Drosophila melanogaster: one gene and its partner. The protein of the gene in region 1 purifies or fractionates together with the protein of each later gene. This does not show direct contact. Each region holds a gene or a part of one and is shown in the gene's direction. Other genes may lie near its edges. The genes, in order: tex and tho2.

The links.
Region 2: the proteins of tex (region 1) and tho2 purify together in Drosophila melanogaster (affinity purification with western blotting; one study listed by BioGRID). This does not show direct contact.

The regions. Positions count from the first base shown.
Region 1 is NT_033777.3:8,305,381-8,312,700, reverse strand, and holds tex (tex), read left to right. Parts: upstream 1-4,055; 5' UTR 4,056-4,125; coding exon 4,126-4,215; exon of another isoform or gene 4,216-4,270; coding exon 4,271-4,805; intron 4,806-4,860; coding exon 4,861-5,198; 3' UTR 5,199-5,228; downstream 5,229-7,320. Other genes in the region: CG11698 (uncharacterized protein), read right to left, coding at 1-457; CG11694 (uncharacterized protein), read left to right, coding at 633-1,418; CG11693 (uncharacterized protein), read left to right, coding at 2,696-2,738, 2,795-3,723.
Region 2 is NT_033779.5:2,139,852-2,148,515, reverse strand, and holds the start of tho2 (tho2), read left to right. Parts: upstream 1-3,328; 5' UTR 3,329-3,484; coding exon 3,485-3,711; intron 3,712-3,890; coding exon 3,891-4,059; intron 4,060-4,149; coding exon 4,150-4,397; intron 4,398-4,462; coding exon 4,463-4,596; intron 4,597-4,666; coding exon 4,667-5,067; intron 5,068-5,124; coding exon 5,125-5,874; intron 5,875-5,935; coding exon 5,936-6,325; intron 6,326-6,383; coding exon 6,384-6,731; intron 6,732-6,793; coding exon 6,794-7,387; intron 7,388-7,445; coding exon 7,446-8,136; intron 8,137-8,203; coding exon 8,204-8,664. Other genes in the region: Tbcd (Tubulin-binding cofactor D), read right to left, coding at 1-869; CG11723 (uncharacterized protein), read left to right, coding at 1,492-1,630, 1,703-2,616.

The DNA.
Region 1 (7,320 bases):
TCTTCATAATGTTCACGGATGTGCAGAGCTTGTCACGGATCCCCTTTGCCGACGTCGCCGAGCACGAGCTGGCAGCAATGGCTCGTTGGATTTCCTCGATAACCCTGTTCGTTTCTGCCAGACTTTTGGTGTATTCATCGAGGAGCTGCTTCTTCCCGTTGAGAGCCGCCTCCGCAGCCTTGGCCGCCTGCAACGCCCTGTCCGCCAGCATTTCCCGTGCCCTGTAGCCCGCCATCTCCGCGGCACATGGCTGCGCATCCTTGGCGTCCTTCGCATCCTTGGCCGCCTTCGAGGCCACCTGGCTGGCTTTCATGCTCGTCTTGCAGGGAAGGGAGCCGGGCTTGAAACGCGGATCATTCCGCTGGGCAGGATGCGCGGCGGTCGACAGCAGGATGTTCGAAAGAAGCAACATCGTAACCAGGGAGTCGCAACGCATTGGGAATCTTGCATCGTACATAAATCTCAAGGCTCATCAGGAAATCGAAATGTGGAGATAATAATGGGAATATAGCAGCTCCACCTTTCAAATCACTATTATTTGAAATATTTGTACAGTAACCACAAGTTACCTGGAGTATATATTTCTTAAATATCTTTAGAAATCCGTTTAATACAACTATTTCGAGTTAAGCATGGAGATAGCACGAATCGCATTTCTACTTTTCTTCCTGTTCTCAGATCATTCTGCGGGCCACAAGTTGCCGCAGTCCTCCAATGAGATAGCTGCTCTAATGTCGGATCATCATGGTGATGGCGACAACAGTGTGTCGTCATCCTCCGGCGGTGCCCCGTGCGACTTCAAGATGAATGGAAAGACCAGGGTAAAGGCCTCATGCATTGCGCAGAAGGCGGCCAAGGAAGCCATGGAGGCATCCGATGCCCAGATAGAGGCTGGCGAGGCAGCTGCCCGCCAGGTGAAGCAGCAACTGGCCGACAAAGCGCTGGCCGCAGCCAAGGCGGCAGAAGCTGCTCTGGCCGGCAAGCAACAGATTGTCGAGCAACTGGAGTCCGAGGTGCGCGAGGGGGAGCTAGTGGTCCAGGAGGAGAGCACCTTGTTACAGACCACCCAAACTACTTATGCTGCGGCCGGGCAAGCGGCCAAACAGGCGGCAGATCAGCTGAACACCATTACGCTGGCGGTGAAGAATGCGCAGGATAATGTGGTCAACTCGGAGCACGTGGCCAGTGGCGCTCAGCAGGAGCTGGGCGAGAAGCAACAGCTTGTGGAAGCGGCCAAGAAGCGGGTGGAGCTATTGCTCCGCCAGCTGGAGGTGGCCCGTGTGGATTTCAAGAATACCAAAAACGCCGCCGAGAAGGCAGCCTGTGCTGCCCAGGAGGCCAGGCATAGGGCCACCAGGGAGCGCAGGAGGGCGGAACTGAGGCACTTACTCTGGCTGAAGAGGGGGCGCACCAACTGAAGCCAATAACTTGTATATCTTATATTTTATTTTACTTTGCATTTTCAAAAGGGAGAATATAATTCAGTTTTATTAAATTCAATAGTTCGTAGGTGAGATCACAATTATAAACTACAAATTGTGACATCAAGTTTATCATGATGCAATTGGGGATTACGGGGCGTATACTCAACACACCTCGCTAAGCTTCCGAACACTCCTCCGTGTTCACACGCGGATCTGCGAGGAAGCGAACAATCATCGGACTTCATCGGTCTTTCGTCATATGCAATCTCTCCCGGAGCGGGCATTTAAAGCGTCTCATGGCAATTAGACGCTCTGCCATAATTGCGGCTACAAATTATCCAATCGAGCAGCCGCCTGGTAGCATTGACCCAGCACCATCGTTGTTGGATGATGGTGCATGGCCAGCTCGCGAGGAAAACCAACAGCCAACGGGTTTGCACTTTCTTTCGGCGACCCGACCAGTTCGTTTATAAATACATGGCGCCTCTGGTGGCCAACTGGCAATCGTCGTTGAGTCTCCACCGGATTTACTGCGCCCACTTGCCGCTCCCCCAGCCACCAGCCTCCAGCTCTACCTGTTGCGCGCTCCTAGCTTCATCTAGTGCGAAAGTAAAAGCGTTTTTCACCGAACTCGTCCATCCACATTGACTCCGCTTGGCGGGCGATCCTCCACTCGAGTCATAAGCATTTTATCTCTGGTCCGCACAGGACGTTCGTGTCGGTCAAGTCCAAGTCCAAGTCGAGATCGAGATCGAGAGGTGCGTTGGTGTCAAAACTGAGTGATTGGTGTGTGCCTTGTGTGCAGTGTCCAGTTTGGCTGCGCTTCAAACTAAACAGGTTCTCTCGTGGAACATATCATTCCGTGACCCACTAACGACTTACCGGCCATCCTAGAGCAAAGAAAGTGCCGCACCATAAAATATTAGCTAATAGGCAAAGCGGCTATGTAACCGGTTGCCCAATGATTATGCACTCGCAAAAGGTGTCCTTCAGATGTGAAGATATTTTTAATGCAGAATGAAGTGGTACATTTCGTAACAAGTTTATTTTAGTGAGATGCAATCAACAACTAACTAGCTAACTAAACTGAAAAGCATATACATACGTGAAAAACAATGAAGAAACTTTTCCCCAATTAAAAACGGAAATTTGTTTTCTTTCAGCACTCGGCGTGCGACAGAGGAACCCAAAAGCTTGCGCCTGCGGTGATCACGAGTCTTCCGGTTGTGCGACTTCCTTTCGCCAGCTGCTCCATTGCATAATCGCCAGAGATGCCATCGCTGCTGCACCTGCTGCTCCTGGCGCTGTTTTTGGGTGAGTCGCACATGACTTCCTCATGCAAATGTGGCTAAATTGGGACTTTGATTTAGTGGCCATGCCGACGCAGGGTCGCAAGATCAAACGGAAGGAGCCACACTATCACCATCACGTCAATGTGCCGCCGCCACCACCGCCGCCATCGCCCCATGGACCGGGTCCAGTGCCCCAGCAAACGGCGGTGATCGAGCACGAGGTGCCGCCATACACCTACGAGGCGATTAACCACGACGAATTCGAACCGGCCAAGGTGAAGCTCTCCCACTTCGAAGGCTCCTCCGATTACATAGTGCACTCCCACCGCGGAGGCGGTGGAGGAGGAAGCGGTGGCTACCTGGCCGACAATGGATTGCGCAGCATAGCGAAGGGTTCAGCGGATCAGGCCCTGTCCGCAGTGGCCAGCCAAAATGCGGCAGGCAAACAGGCATCCTATGTGGCCAAAAGTACTCTGGCTCAGGCGGCAGCACAAGCAGCCGGCACAGCTGTGGCCGTGCTCAAGGGCAAAGAGGTGCTGCTCCATCGGCTGGAGGATCAGAGCGTGGAGGCCCACAAGGCCATGGAGAACGAGCTGACCCAACTGCAGCAGGCCAAGAGATCCGCCAAGGCAGCCCAATATGCCGCCCAGCAGGCCATCAACCATGTCAGTGTCCTAACTGCCGCACTTAACAATGCCCAATCCGCCTCGGAGTTGGCACAAAAGGCAGCATCGGAGGCGGCGGCCGAGCTAGCTTCGCAAATTGATATGGTGGCCCAGGCCAAGACCAAGCTGGAGCACGCCGAATCGCAGGCTTATGCAGCTCGACTGGACTACGAGGAAACGCGCGATGCGGCGGAGAAGGCTACCTTGTCCGCCCAGGAGGCGCACTTGAATGCCAATGACGCGGCCTTGCATGCCAACGTGGAGCTAGCGGAGAATGTGCATATCCACGACAAGAGCGATCGGAATGTGCGCGAGCCGCCGCGAAACCACAGACTTCAATAGTGCACTGCCACAATCTAGGCTTGTAATTCTTATTTATTTGTTTTCCTCATTTAATGTTTGTTTTGCTGCAGCGATACAATAAAGTTTTGTTGACATTAAACTCTCTCTCTCTCTCTCTCTCTCTCTCTCTCTCTGCTTGTTTAAATGTTTGCAGCGCAAACAATAGCGTAATTAACAACAAAAGATATGAGCTTGAATGTTGGCAGAAACTCGTTTGAAAACGTTACCTCAGAGATTGTAAGAATATTTGAATTAGCCGCTAAGCCAGGAATCGATATATTGGTGTGAGTCCTTGCTAATGCAAATCGGGCAGTTAGTATAATTTGGTTAGTGGGCTACAGTCACATTGTTGTTTAGATCTTTTAAGAAAAAGCCGGTTGAAATATAAATAAACATTTAACAATGAGTCGCACGGAGCAGACATTGGAAGACCTGAAGTCGTATTTGCGGAGTCACAGCAAAATCCGCGAGCAGCGGTCGCACATGTCTAAGGTGAGCACGATGGCCACATTTATTGGGCAACCAATGAATTCCCGCCTGCCCACAGGTTCACTCGGTCTGCTGGAATGCCGATGGTCGTTACCTGGCCTCCGGAAGCTTCGACAAGACGGTGGTCGTCTACTCGCTGGAGCGGGACCGCTTCTTGAAGGGCAACACATACCGGGGACACACTGCGTCCGTGGACCAGCTGTGTTGGCATCGCACCAATCCCGACCAGTTTGCCACCGCAAGCGGAGACAAGACCGTGCGCATCTGGGACATACGAGTTGGAAAATGCGTATCGGTGACGAACACCAAGGGGGAGAATATCAACATTGCCTGGTCGCCCGATGGCAAAACGATCGCCGTGGGCAACAAGGAGGATCTGATCACCTTTATAGACACACGCACGAACAAGATTCGCGTGGAGGAGCCGTTCAGCTTCGAGGTCAACGAGATATCGTGGAACAACACCAACGACCTGTTCTTCCTAACCAACGGACTCGGCTGCATGCATATCCTCAGCTATCCCAGTCTCGAGCACCAGATGACCCTGAAGGCCCATCCCGCCAACTGCATTTGCATTGAGTTCGGACCCACGGGTAGGCAGCCATTGCAATCTCATATCATATCTAAATATGCCTCTTTCGTTTCCAGGTAAATACTTTGCCACTGGCTCGGCGGACGCACAAGTCTCCTTGTGGGATGCCAACGAGCTGGCCTGCCTGCGCATGATCAGCCGCCTGGAGTGGCCCGTCCGCACCATATCGTTTAGCCACGACGAGCGAATGATTGCCTTGGCCAGCGAGGACCTCATTATCGACATTGCCTTCACGGAGACGGGCGAGCGGGTAACCGACATTCACGTGGACGCCTCCACGTTCACGGTGGCCTGGCATCCGAAGCAGTACCTGCTGGCCTACGCCTGCGATGAGAAGGACAACGATCGGCGACGTGACGCTGGCAACGTTAAGATATATGGCTTTTCGGAATAAAGTAACCTAGTTTAAGGCGCATCTGATGGTAAAGACCACCCTGTTTGCTTTCCAATTACCTTTTCGAGTGTGACTTTATCGACGTACCTGACCGTCGATGATGCACTTTCGTGTTAACTGGGTCACGTTGCTAGCCGAGCGAGCATTCTAGGTTATCAATTGCAGGGCTTCGCCGGCGGACGTGTTCGTGGCAGCCATTTCGGTTTTATCATCTCTGGCTCGCTTTTATGGCTTTGCCGGACCCAGCTGATGCGCCCTGCTGCTCCAGGAGCTGCTCAATCGGCGCAGCTGAACGTTGCAAGCACTTTGCTTTTATCATGCAAATAACGACGCTGGCGGATGCGAATGCTGACCCAATGCATGTAGCTAGCTTTACGGCAATGGCTTCCTGCTTCTTAAGCTATTAATCAGTGTCAGCTTTTCGAGGGCTCAATCCCGGAAAGATGTTGGCTGGCGTGCATGGTCGCTACGACCATATTAGGCAGCTAAACTGGAGAGCCATAAGGTCAAGTTTTGTGGAGCTGGCGCGAGTGGGAGTGGGTGGGCTCTTACTTTCTGCACGCGGCGCAAGTGACAAACAAACAAGCAAGCTAACACGTCGTTTGTATCATCACTCGCATCGCAGCATCGCCATTTGTATGCCGTCCAAGTGCATTTCCCGCCAAGTGCAGCGCACTCCAATCCCCTCCACCCGCGCAGCCATCCAACCACTCGAAACCACGTCAATATTTGCTTTACTAAAAGTTTTCGATAAATTTCGGTTTCGAGATGCCAGCTTGCGTTCGTTGGCCGGGGGGAGGGGAGCGGATTGCGTTTGATGGAAAATATAATTTACAGTTAATTGTCGTAAGTGGAAGCAGTGAAAGAGTGTTTTTGGCCAAGTGATGAGTACTTTAAATAGCCATAGTTTTCATTTGCTTTCGTTGCCTATATTTACTGTACATATAAATCTTTATAATCTTTAGTTACTAAATTCCAATTTGACTTGGCTAGATATTTTCCAATTGGTTTTCTCATCAGAGCGAAACAGCATTTCTACTTTATTTTTACGTCGTTTTATGTACACCGTGTACACGTGTCAAATTTTAACAGCCAGCTTACCCCTCTCTATTCAGCACAGCTGTTAAGCGCGAATGCAGACTGTTAGTTTACATAGCTCGGTTTCTCGCATGCGATAAATATAACATTTCTATAATAATATGGAATAGAACGCTTCTGTTAAATTTTCCCCTTCGCATGCAAATGTTAATGAAATGTAATGAATGCAATAAAATGTTATTCTCGACATTTTCTCAAATCTGTACAGGAATTGCACATAAAACACGCGTGAAATGTAAATGTAACTGTATATTCCATATTTCATATTTTAGTTTTATTTATTATTTTATTTATAGATGCAAATATGCGAAGTTATAATGTTAGAGTAAAGTTATAAGTTAAGAGAAAAAATTATGTTGTGAATAAATTTGTTTGCCACACTTAAATGCAAAAGTGGCGTGTCTTCCGAATTTTAGCAGCTGTTCTTCAATTCTCACAAGATAATTGTCAATTGATCGGAAAGGCAAGCATACAAAAAAAGTCGAGTGCAAGTCATAAAACTTAGAGCAGTAAATAGTTTCTGGGCCACTTGCCCAGCCCCTCGCACACTTTTCAATTCTGCTGTCACTTTGGACAAACTTTGACTATGCGGATTTCTTTAGGGGGGTGGATCCAGACGACTGGAATTTATGTTTGCTGTCGTCGGGACTTATGCGCTTTCGACTGCTGTTTTTTCCCCAAAGCGAAGTACCGAAATTAAAGTGCCCGTAAATTGGCTAGAACTTTGTTTTCAGTTGGCTGCAGTTGAAGTGAGCAGTTGGTGTGAGCAGATTTCAAATAATTTCCCGTGGATTTGTATCCTTGCAAAAAAGAACTTGTAACCTTTTTTTTGTCTTTGACAACTTTCTAGTCTGTTGAAATTATTTCAATCGTGATGAAAAGTTCAAACAAAAAAATCAAATTTGTAAAAGGGAAATTGGCGCCTTAATTTAAGTTTTTGCAGTGCTGGAAATTACTTGCCGCACCAACAGTTCCATTAAGGTTAGAGTCGTTGCTACACCTTATTCCACGCTCACAGCCCTGA
Region 2 (8,664 bases), on another chromosome or scaffold:
TTCTTGTACTTGAGAAAGTCGTTGTCATCCTTGTACTGACAGGAAGTGATCCACTGAAGAAGTTTGTCCGCATAGGGCAGAAGATCTTCTCGCTTTCCGTGCTTTAAAATAGCAGCCACTGCAGCCAGTTGGCCGAACTTGACGTTCAACGTGTCCGCTTGGTGCTGCTCCATAATCCAGTCCAGGAAGCGCTCCAGATATAGATCCTTGATGTCACTGCGAATGAAATACTTGGCGGCCAGGAAAGCAGCCATGCTGCTGCATGTGTCGTTGGAGGACACATAAAGCTGGATGAGCTCGAAGATGCGATCCATCTTGGTGTTCTTCGACTGAACATGGTTCACGGGACTGCAATTGGTGGTGGGAGCAGATGTGGAGGTGTCATAGGCATCTAGTCTCGACATGTGAAAGGGATTTAGGACCAGGATAGACATCCACAGGAGCAGTATATAGCGCGTTTCCCACTGTTCGAACTCCTTGGGATTTTGCTGACCCAGCAAATCCAGAACAAACTCCAGATCGCTCAGTTCGTGTGGCATAAACTTTACCAGGACCTTATAGGTGCGCACTTTGCAGATGATGTAGAGATACTTGAAGGCTGCATGAAGCTCTCCAGTGTCTAGATCTGGCTTCCGAATCTTGTGGAGCAGTTTGCCGAGTAACTCCTCCAAATGTGGATCCAAGAGGTGTGGCTGCTCCTGATATCTAGACAAAACCTGGGCGTACTGCTCGAACTCCCTTTCGAAGGTGTTAGCGGCAATGGATTTGATGTTGTCGATCATCTCCAGCACCTGCTGCAGTTCGGTGAAGTGCTCCAGCGTGTTTGCCGGCAGGTCCTCATCCTTGCACTCTTCCACAGAATTCGACATGGCTGCTTGACGATTTTATCGAGTTTTAAACCCACAGCCGGCAACAAAATCAATTCGTTTGTGAATCATTTGTTTTACTGCCAGGGTTGCAACCCCAATGAAAGTATGCTGGTATGACACCACGAACTGACTCGTCTCTTTCTTACTGTTTTTCGACCAAAAGGGTCTTTATCTAATTCTTTATCTTTAAACTAACATTTTTTTTTGGAATCAAATGCAGTTATTGTACATTGTGCTCTTTAAACGTTTGTAATAAATCCTACTAAATAAGTTCATCTAGTGTCATAGTGCCTTTGGTGTGGCCGTTTTGCATGCACCTGGTAATACCGTTAAGCAGCTGTTCGACCAGAGCTGCCAGGCGCAATTAATCATTTATTTGTAGTGGCAAGCGAAACTGCGAGATTTAGCAAGAGCAAGATTTTGTATATTCCACCAAAACGCAGCAAAGCAAGCCCGAATTTGGGATATTAAAAGTGTTACCGTCGGGTCGAAACCGCTCACACATTCGTCGAGTTTGCTGTGAGCGCGGTCATTGCTGTGAAAATTGCGTTGAAAATTCGGGATCCGCAAGTTTCGGAGCATTGCATTTGTGGACAAACCGCAATTTCTGGTCCACTGCGCCATGAAATCAGATAACTACCGTCTCATACAGGAGGTGTCCAAGCGGCGGTGCCTGTGGGACACAAACATGTCCATTTCGTACCGCAACCAGGACGCAGCTCTCCAGTGGGCGAGTGTCGCGCAGATAATGCAGCAGGATGGTGAGTGGCGGATAAACGAGGAGGGTTTTATATGCCTAGGAAACCTATAAATAACACCTGGTCATTTTGCAGTCTCGATCTGCAAGAAACGTTTCAAGGGAATGCGGGACAGCTACCGGGCAGAGGTGCGCAAGATACAGCAGAAACGAATCGAGATGTCCCACTGGCCATACTTTCGCTCACTGGAGTTCATGCGCCAAATCTTCGATCCGGAGGGCCTGGTGCCCTTTCCACCAGAGCCCTTCGTGATGAACACCGAGCAGCCGGAAGTCTTCGAGCCCACCCGACTGGTTGACTTCGCTATCGATTTGGATTTGGACAATGATGACTCTGTTGACTTTGAAATCATCGAGGACATATTTAAGCGGGAGCCGTCAGTGCCCCAGGACTCTGGCTCGGATAAAGGCTCGCTGATCAAGCCTTTGGATTCTTCATCCTCGGGCGCCCATCGTTCCGATCAGGATCTATCGCCCACATTGCCCATACACTTGCCGCGCCACCAACAATTCCTGCCACGTCCACCCCCGCCTTCGAAGAGAGGACGTCGGAGGAAAACTTCGCCGTCTAACGATGTCCCCTTATTGAATGGATACGCCAGCCAGGCGTCAAAGTCTACCACTGAACCCGATCTAAAGAACGATTCGGACTTGAGTTTCTTGATGAGCATGATGCCGCACGTAAAGTCTCTGTCAGCCATTAGCAATCTTAAGTTTCGAATGGAGATGGCGCGCGTTCTGGTGGAACTCAGGGAGGAGGATCAGCACATGCTCGCGGCGGCGGGACCCGAAGACGTTCTAGAGCGCAGCATGCCCAAACTAACACCAGCCCCGAATTCCAGTTTTGCCACTCAGCTGGAGAAATCCCAGTACCATCTATCCAATTCCAGCTACCAAATCAGTAGCCGAAAAACACCAACTTCGTTTGACTATGTCGACAGCTCCATGGTTGAGTGCGATGTCAAGATAGAGAATGAGCCTCTGCTATGAAGACTTCATACCAAATTTTTACGATTTTACATTCACCAATAATTCTCTAAGGAGTATTCCTTTCATATTGTTACAAGTCTTAGATGAAACCCTACTCATACATGAGTAGTTGTTTGGCAAAATGCCTATCATAAGACCATTATCCACACGCTGAATTGCTTGTAAAATATTGATTTGTATTGTCCAATAATTTAACCATTTTGACTCCGGGTATGCCATTCGCGGGCTGTTTTAAAGCAATTTACACGAAATGGAATATACAAACAAAATAACAGCTGATGCTGATTAAATTTTAAGGTTTAGCTTATCATTGGGATGTCATCTGGAAGGAATTTTAATGGATTTGAATTGATTTAAGATTCTGTTTTCGAATAGACACGTAATAAATATGTGCATACGATTTAAAAAAGGTCCAATGATTTTAAGGTGAGATAATCCTAAAATCGATTCGGTTTCATTTCCCGATGTTCCACTACGAAATGTCAACCATAAATAAAACAAATAAAAGAGGCAACTTGGTCGAAAACAATCTCAGTTCAATTGTAATGAAAATTGACGTCCGGTGCATAATTTATATATAATAATATATATCTATATATATATAAATAATAACAATTCAAGATTATTTGCTAGTTTATGTTCCTTGTCTAACGTTCCAGAAAAAAAGTAACTTGGCATTTGGCAGTCGGACGTTTTCGTTTCGGCGAATGGTATTTAGTTAGGCAGCAGTACGGTCACACTGGCGGAACTAACTAAAAAAAAGTGTGAAAATTTGTCAAATATTTCGACAAGTACAACGATCTAATCGATTCGGGAGCAGAATTCAGCCCCCGCAGCAAAGCGCCCGCGTGTACCACCTGATCCGAGGATGCAGAGATCCACAGACCGGTTGCGCCGGCTGAAAAAGCTGAAGAGCGTTACGGGAGCGCAGGATGGCGTTGGTGGCGGCGATGCGGCGGCGACGGCGGATAATCGGACCTCCGCATCGTCGGACACGAACGGAGCAGCCGCCAGTAGCGGAGCCGGCGGCAATCAGCCAGGCACACTCAATCCGGAGGTCTTCAAGCACTTGGACAAATCCGGACGCAGTGAATTGTACGTGTGTGGTACCACGCTCCGACACCGATGCAAACGCAGCCAGAGATATATGCACACGCGCCCAAACACTCGCACTCGCAGTACAGTGGCTGTCGTCAGTTTGTGTCTTGCTGCTGGATCGACTGTTTGGACTGACTGTTCCTCGTTCCCTAGCTAAATTACACGTTTACTTCTAGCCTGAAGTACCTCAAGCATCAGTTGCAGGATGCGGCGGATACGCCCGTTTACGACAAGAACGGCGTCTTTAAGCAGGGCATCTCCAATGCCATATACCAGCTTCTTTGGCAGACTCTGCGCTTCACTCACAAAAAAGACATAGTACTCCACCTGCTCCTGGAAGTCGTGGTGAGTTGAATTTGTTGTTGTAAAGAAAGATTTATAAGGCATTTACTTCTTAACAATTGTCGCTATATATAACGTTTTCCTATGTTGCAGGCCCTCCATGCGGACTTTCCCAGCCTTATAGTGGACGTGGTTAACATTCTGGACAGCGAAACCTCCCTTATAACCGATGGACTTCAGGAAGAACGACATGCCTTTGTGCAACTTGTTAAAGACTTGGACAGGGTGATTCCAGAAAGTCTTTTGAAAGAACGTTTGGAAATCGATACGTTGCAGGAGGCGGGAATCGTCAAGAACAAGAGCTTTTACTCTAAGTTCATCAAGGTCAAAACCAAGCTATAGTACGTACATATAGTAAAAGCGATTTGAGGTTAATAAAATATATAATCTCTACTTTCCCTTTAAGCTACAAGCAGCGTCGGTTTAACCTTTTCCGCGAGGAGAGTGAAGGGTTTGCCAAGCTTATCACAGAGCTAAACCAGGAGTTCGACGAGAACACCACTCCAGAGAGCATAATGGATATCATAAAATCCCTTATAGGTAAGATAGTTTTGATAGCTATGAGGAAACACAGTCAAACCGACTGCATTAATTGTTAATTGAATTGCAGGCTGCTTCAATCTGGATCCTAATCGTGTGCTGGACATTATTATCGAGTCCTTTGAAACTCGTCCGGATCGATGGAACTTGTTCATACCCCTGCTGCGCAGCTACATGCCCACTGGTGCCATTATTTGCGAAGTCCTCGGCTACAAGTTCTGCCACTTTAAGGACTCCCGCACTCCCCGCTCGTTATATCATGTATGTGCTCTTTTGCTTAAGCATGGCGTCATTGCTCTGAACGATGTATACGTGTGGTTGACTCCAAACGATGGGAGCATTAAGGCGGACTGGGAGGAAGACCTGGCTGATGCCAGGGAAATGGTCCGCAAGCTGAACCTTATACAAACCAATAAGAAGGAAGACGAAAAGGATCCACCACCGCCGCCTTCAGTTAAGAAGTTCAATGAGGTAGATTTAATAAACGTTTTTTGAGGGATTCTACTAACGATATCGTTTTATTCGCAGGAAAAATACAATGCAAACCAAAAATTTGGCCTCTGCGAAGCTTTGCTTAAAGTTGGCGACTGGGAGAATGCGTACAAGATCATCCAGAAGCTTCCCGAGCAGGCGGTTGTATTGCAGGAACCCATTGCCCGTGCCATTGCCGATCTGATTCACCTGTCCGTGGAGAATATTTATTACAAAAAGTGTTTTAAGGCTCCCGCAGGACGTAGGCCGAGCCGCAATCGCCTGTATGAGGATTCCAAGTTGGTGGCCAAGATGCAGGCAAAGGAATTCGGCGACTTAAGGAAGTACACCTGGCCGATGGCTAACGTGTTGGGACCTGCCATGCACTACGACACTGTGCTGATGTACAAACTAATCCGTATTATGCGGAAACTAGTTGTCGATATGGGCGTGGACAGCCTAAATGGACCTCCGCCGAATTCGGAAGCAGAGCAGCACTACTATGACATTATGAGCTCGCTGGACGCCTGCATTCTACCCTCCCTTCTATACTTGGACAACAACTGTTCCATGTCCGAAGAGATCTGGGCTGTGCTTAAATATTTCCCGTATCATTTTCGCTACAGTTTGTATGCGCGTTGGAAGAACGACAGCTATCAGCTGCATCCCAATTTGATCAGGAGATGTGGATTGGCACAACGGGATATTAAGGCCCTAATGAAGCGCGTGAGCAAGGAGAACGTCAAGCAGCTGGGACGACTGGTAGGAAAGTATAGCCATTGTGCGCCAGGACTGCTTTTCGACTATGTGAGTTTCATCTAGGTACTATTCCAAAACAGTTTATTCATTTCCATTACTATTTCAACAGATTCTCTTGCAAATTCAAATCTATGATAATCTAATTGGTCCGGTCTGCGACCTGCTCAAGTATCTTACTGCCTTATCCTTTGACTGTTTGGGATACTGCATCATCGAGTCGTTGACGTTAACAGGTCGTCTCAGGTTCAAGGATGACGGCACTTCGTTATCCTTGTGGCTGCAAAGTCTTGCCTCCTTCTGCGGCACCATATACAAGAAGTACAGCATTGAGCTAAGTGGTCTGCTTCAGTATGTGGCCAATCAGTTAAAGTCGCAGAAGAGCCTGGACTTACTGATTCTGAGGGAGATCGTGCATAAGATGGCAGGCGTGGAGTCCTGCGAGGAGATGACTAATGATCAGTTGCAAGCCATGTGTGGTGGTGAGCAGCTCAGGGGAGAGGTAATTATCCAAGTCACTGCAATATTGTTCTGTTAATTGAGTGTATTTGTCGCTATAGGCTGGCTACTTTAGTCAAGTGAGGAATACGAAAAAGTCCTCTAATCGCCTAAAGGAGGCATTGGCCAATAACGATCTTGCCGTGGCTATTTGCCTTTTGATGGCTCAACAGAAACACTGCGTCATTTATCGTGAGACGGCGGCACACAGCCATTTGAAGTTAGTGGGAAATCTGTATGATCAGTGCCAAGACACACTCGTCCAGTTTGGTACGTTCCTAGGCTCCACCTATTCTGTGGATGAGTATGTGGAGCGGTTGCCCTCGATTATAACCATGCTTCGAGAGTACCACATAAACACGGATGTGGCCTTCTTCTTGGCTAGGCCCATGTTTACTCATCAGATCAATGTAAGTTCGAGCAAACCATTCTGCAAAATATTACAAAAAGGTTAACCGAATCCCTCTTACAGCAAAAATATGATCAATTGCGCAAGGATGACCCTAACGCCAAGAAGCTCACCACGACGCAAAAGCTCCAGAAGTATTTGGAAGCTACGCAGCTGATCATGAACCCTATTGTAGAGTCTGTTCGTCCACTGCACAGCTCCAAGGTGTGGGAGGACATTAGTCCGCAGTTCCTGGTAACTTTTTGGAGTCTGAGCATGTACGATCTGCACGTGCCGAACGAAAGCTATCAGAGGGAGGTTGCCAAGCTAAAGCAGCTGGCCCAGCAAGCGGCAGAAGGCAAAGACTCTAACCAATCTAAGAACAAGAAGGAGCAGGAGCGCTACATTGCGCTAATGGAGAAGCTGAACGACGAGCGAAAGAAGCAGCATGAGCACGTTGACAAGATCTCGCAGCGTTTGCAGGAGCAAAAAGATAGTTGGTTCCTTCTACGATCTGGCAAGTCCGCAAAGAACGACACCATCACGCAATTCCTGCAGCTCTGTCTCTTCCCGCGTTGCACCTTCACAGCTCTGGATGCGTTGTATTGCGCGAAGTTCGTGCACACCATCCACAATCTCAAGACATCGAACTTCTCAACCTTGCTGTGCTATGATAGGGTAATAAGACTAAATACATTTACTTAAACTCGATCTTACTCCTTCTTCTTGTCCTCAGATCTTTTGTGACATCACTTATTCGGTAACATCGTGCACTGAGGGCGAGGCTACGCGGTACGGACGCTTTTTGTGCGCCATGCTCGAGACCGTGATGCGTTGGCATGCGGATCAGGCGGTGTTTAATAAGGAGTGCGCCAATTATCCTGGTTTTGTGACAAAGTTTCGTGTTAGCAATCAGTTCTCAGAGGCCAACGATCATGTTGGCTACGAAAACTATCGGCATGTGTGTCACAAGTGGCACTACAAGATTACCAAGGCGATTGTATTCTGTCTGGACTCGAAGGACTTTATGCAGATCAGAAACGCACTGATCATCCTAATGCGAATACTGCCTCACTATCCAGTTCTTTCCAAACTGGCGCAAATCATCGAGCGTAAGGTGGACAAGGTGCGCGAGGAGGAGAAGACAAAGCGACCGGATCTGTATGCCATTGCCTCCAGCTACATTGGACAACTAAAGCTGAAGACTCCCCACATGCTAAAGGAGAGTGTCTTTCATCAAATCGCCGAGCGGCCGAATAAGGAGTCGCCGACCAGTGTTGGCGCTCCCGCCGCAGCCACCAGATCCGATAAGTTGTCACCCACCTCTCCATCTGGGAATACACAAGGAACAAGGGCTCCAGGCGGAGCTGCTCCTTTCTACAACAGCGAACAAAAGTCGGTGATCAAAGAACCAGATGCAAAAGCAGGTGAGTTGAAATATTAAATGAATGTAAATCTTAAATCTTAAATCATCAAATCTTAAATATGTTTTAGCCTCCACAACGCGTGAATCGAAGAGCCAAAGAGGCGAGGGCAATAATGTCACTTTGGTGTCCACAGCCACTTCAACGGCATCCAATAACGAACGCGAGAGCAAACAACGTGACCTGCCAGCGCCACGTGAGTCCCAATCCCGCAGCAAGGATGACCAGCAGGAGCAGGCAAACAACGGCAGTAATGGCAGCCGACAGAGCGAGAGTCGTAATAGAGATGTGGAACGAGACCGACATGATCAGCAAGACCAACGAAGCATTAGTAGCCATCGCAGTTCCAGAGACATTGTGCGGGTCAAGGAGCGCACAGAAGCCGAGCTGCATCAGAGGTCGCGGGAACGTTCTCAACGTCTGGAGGAGTTGGAAGCGCAGCAGCGGAAGCGGGAAAAAACATCGCGACGGGGCGGCGAAGAGCGCATCCGACATGGTGATGGCGTCGAGACAGTGGACCTGGTGGGCAGC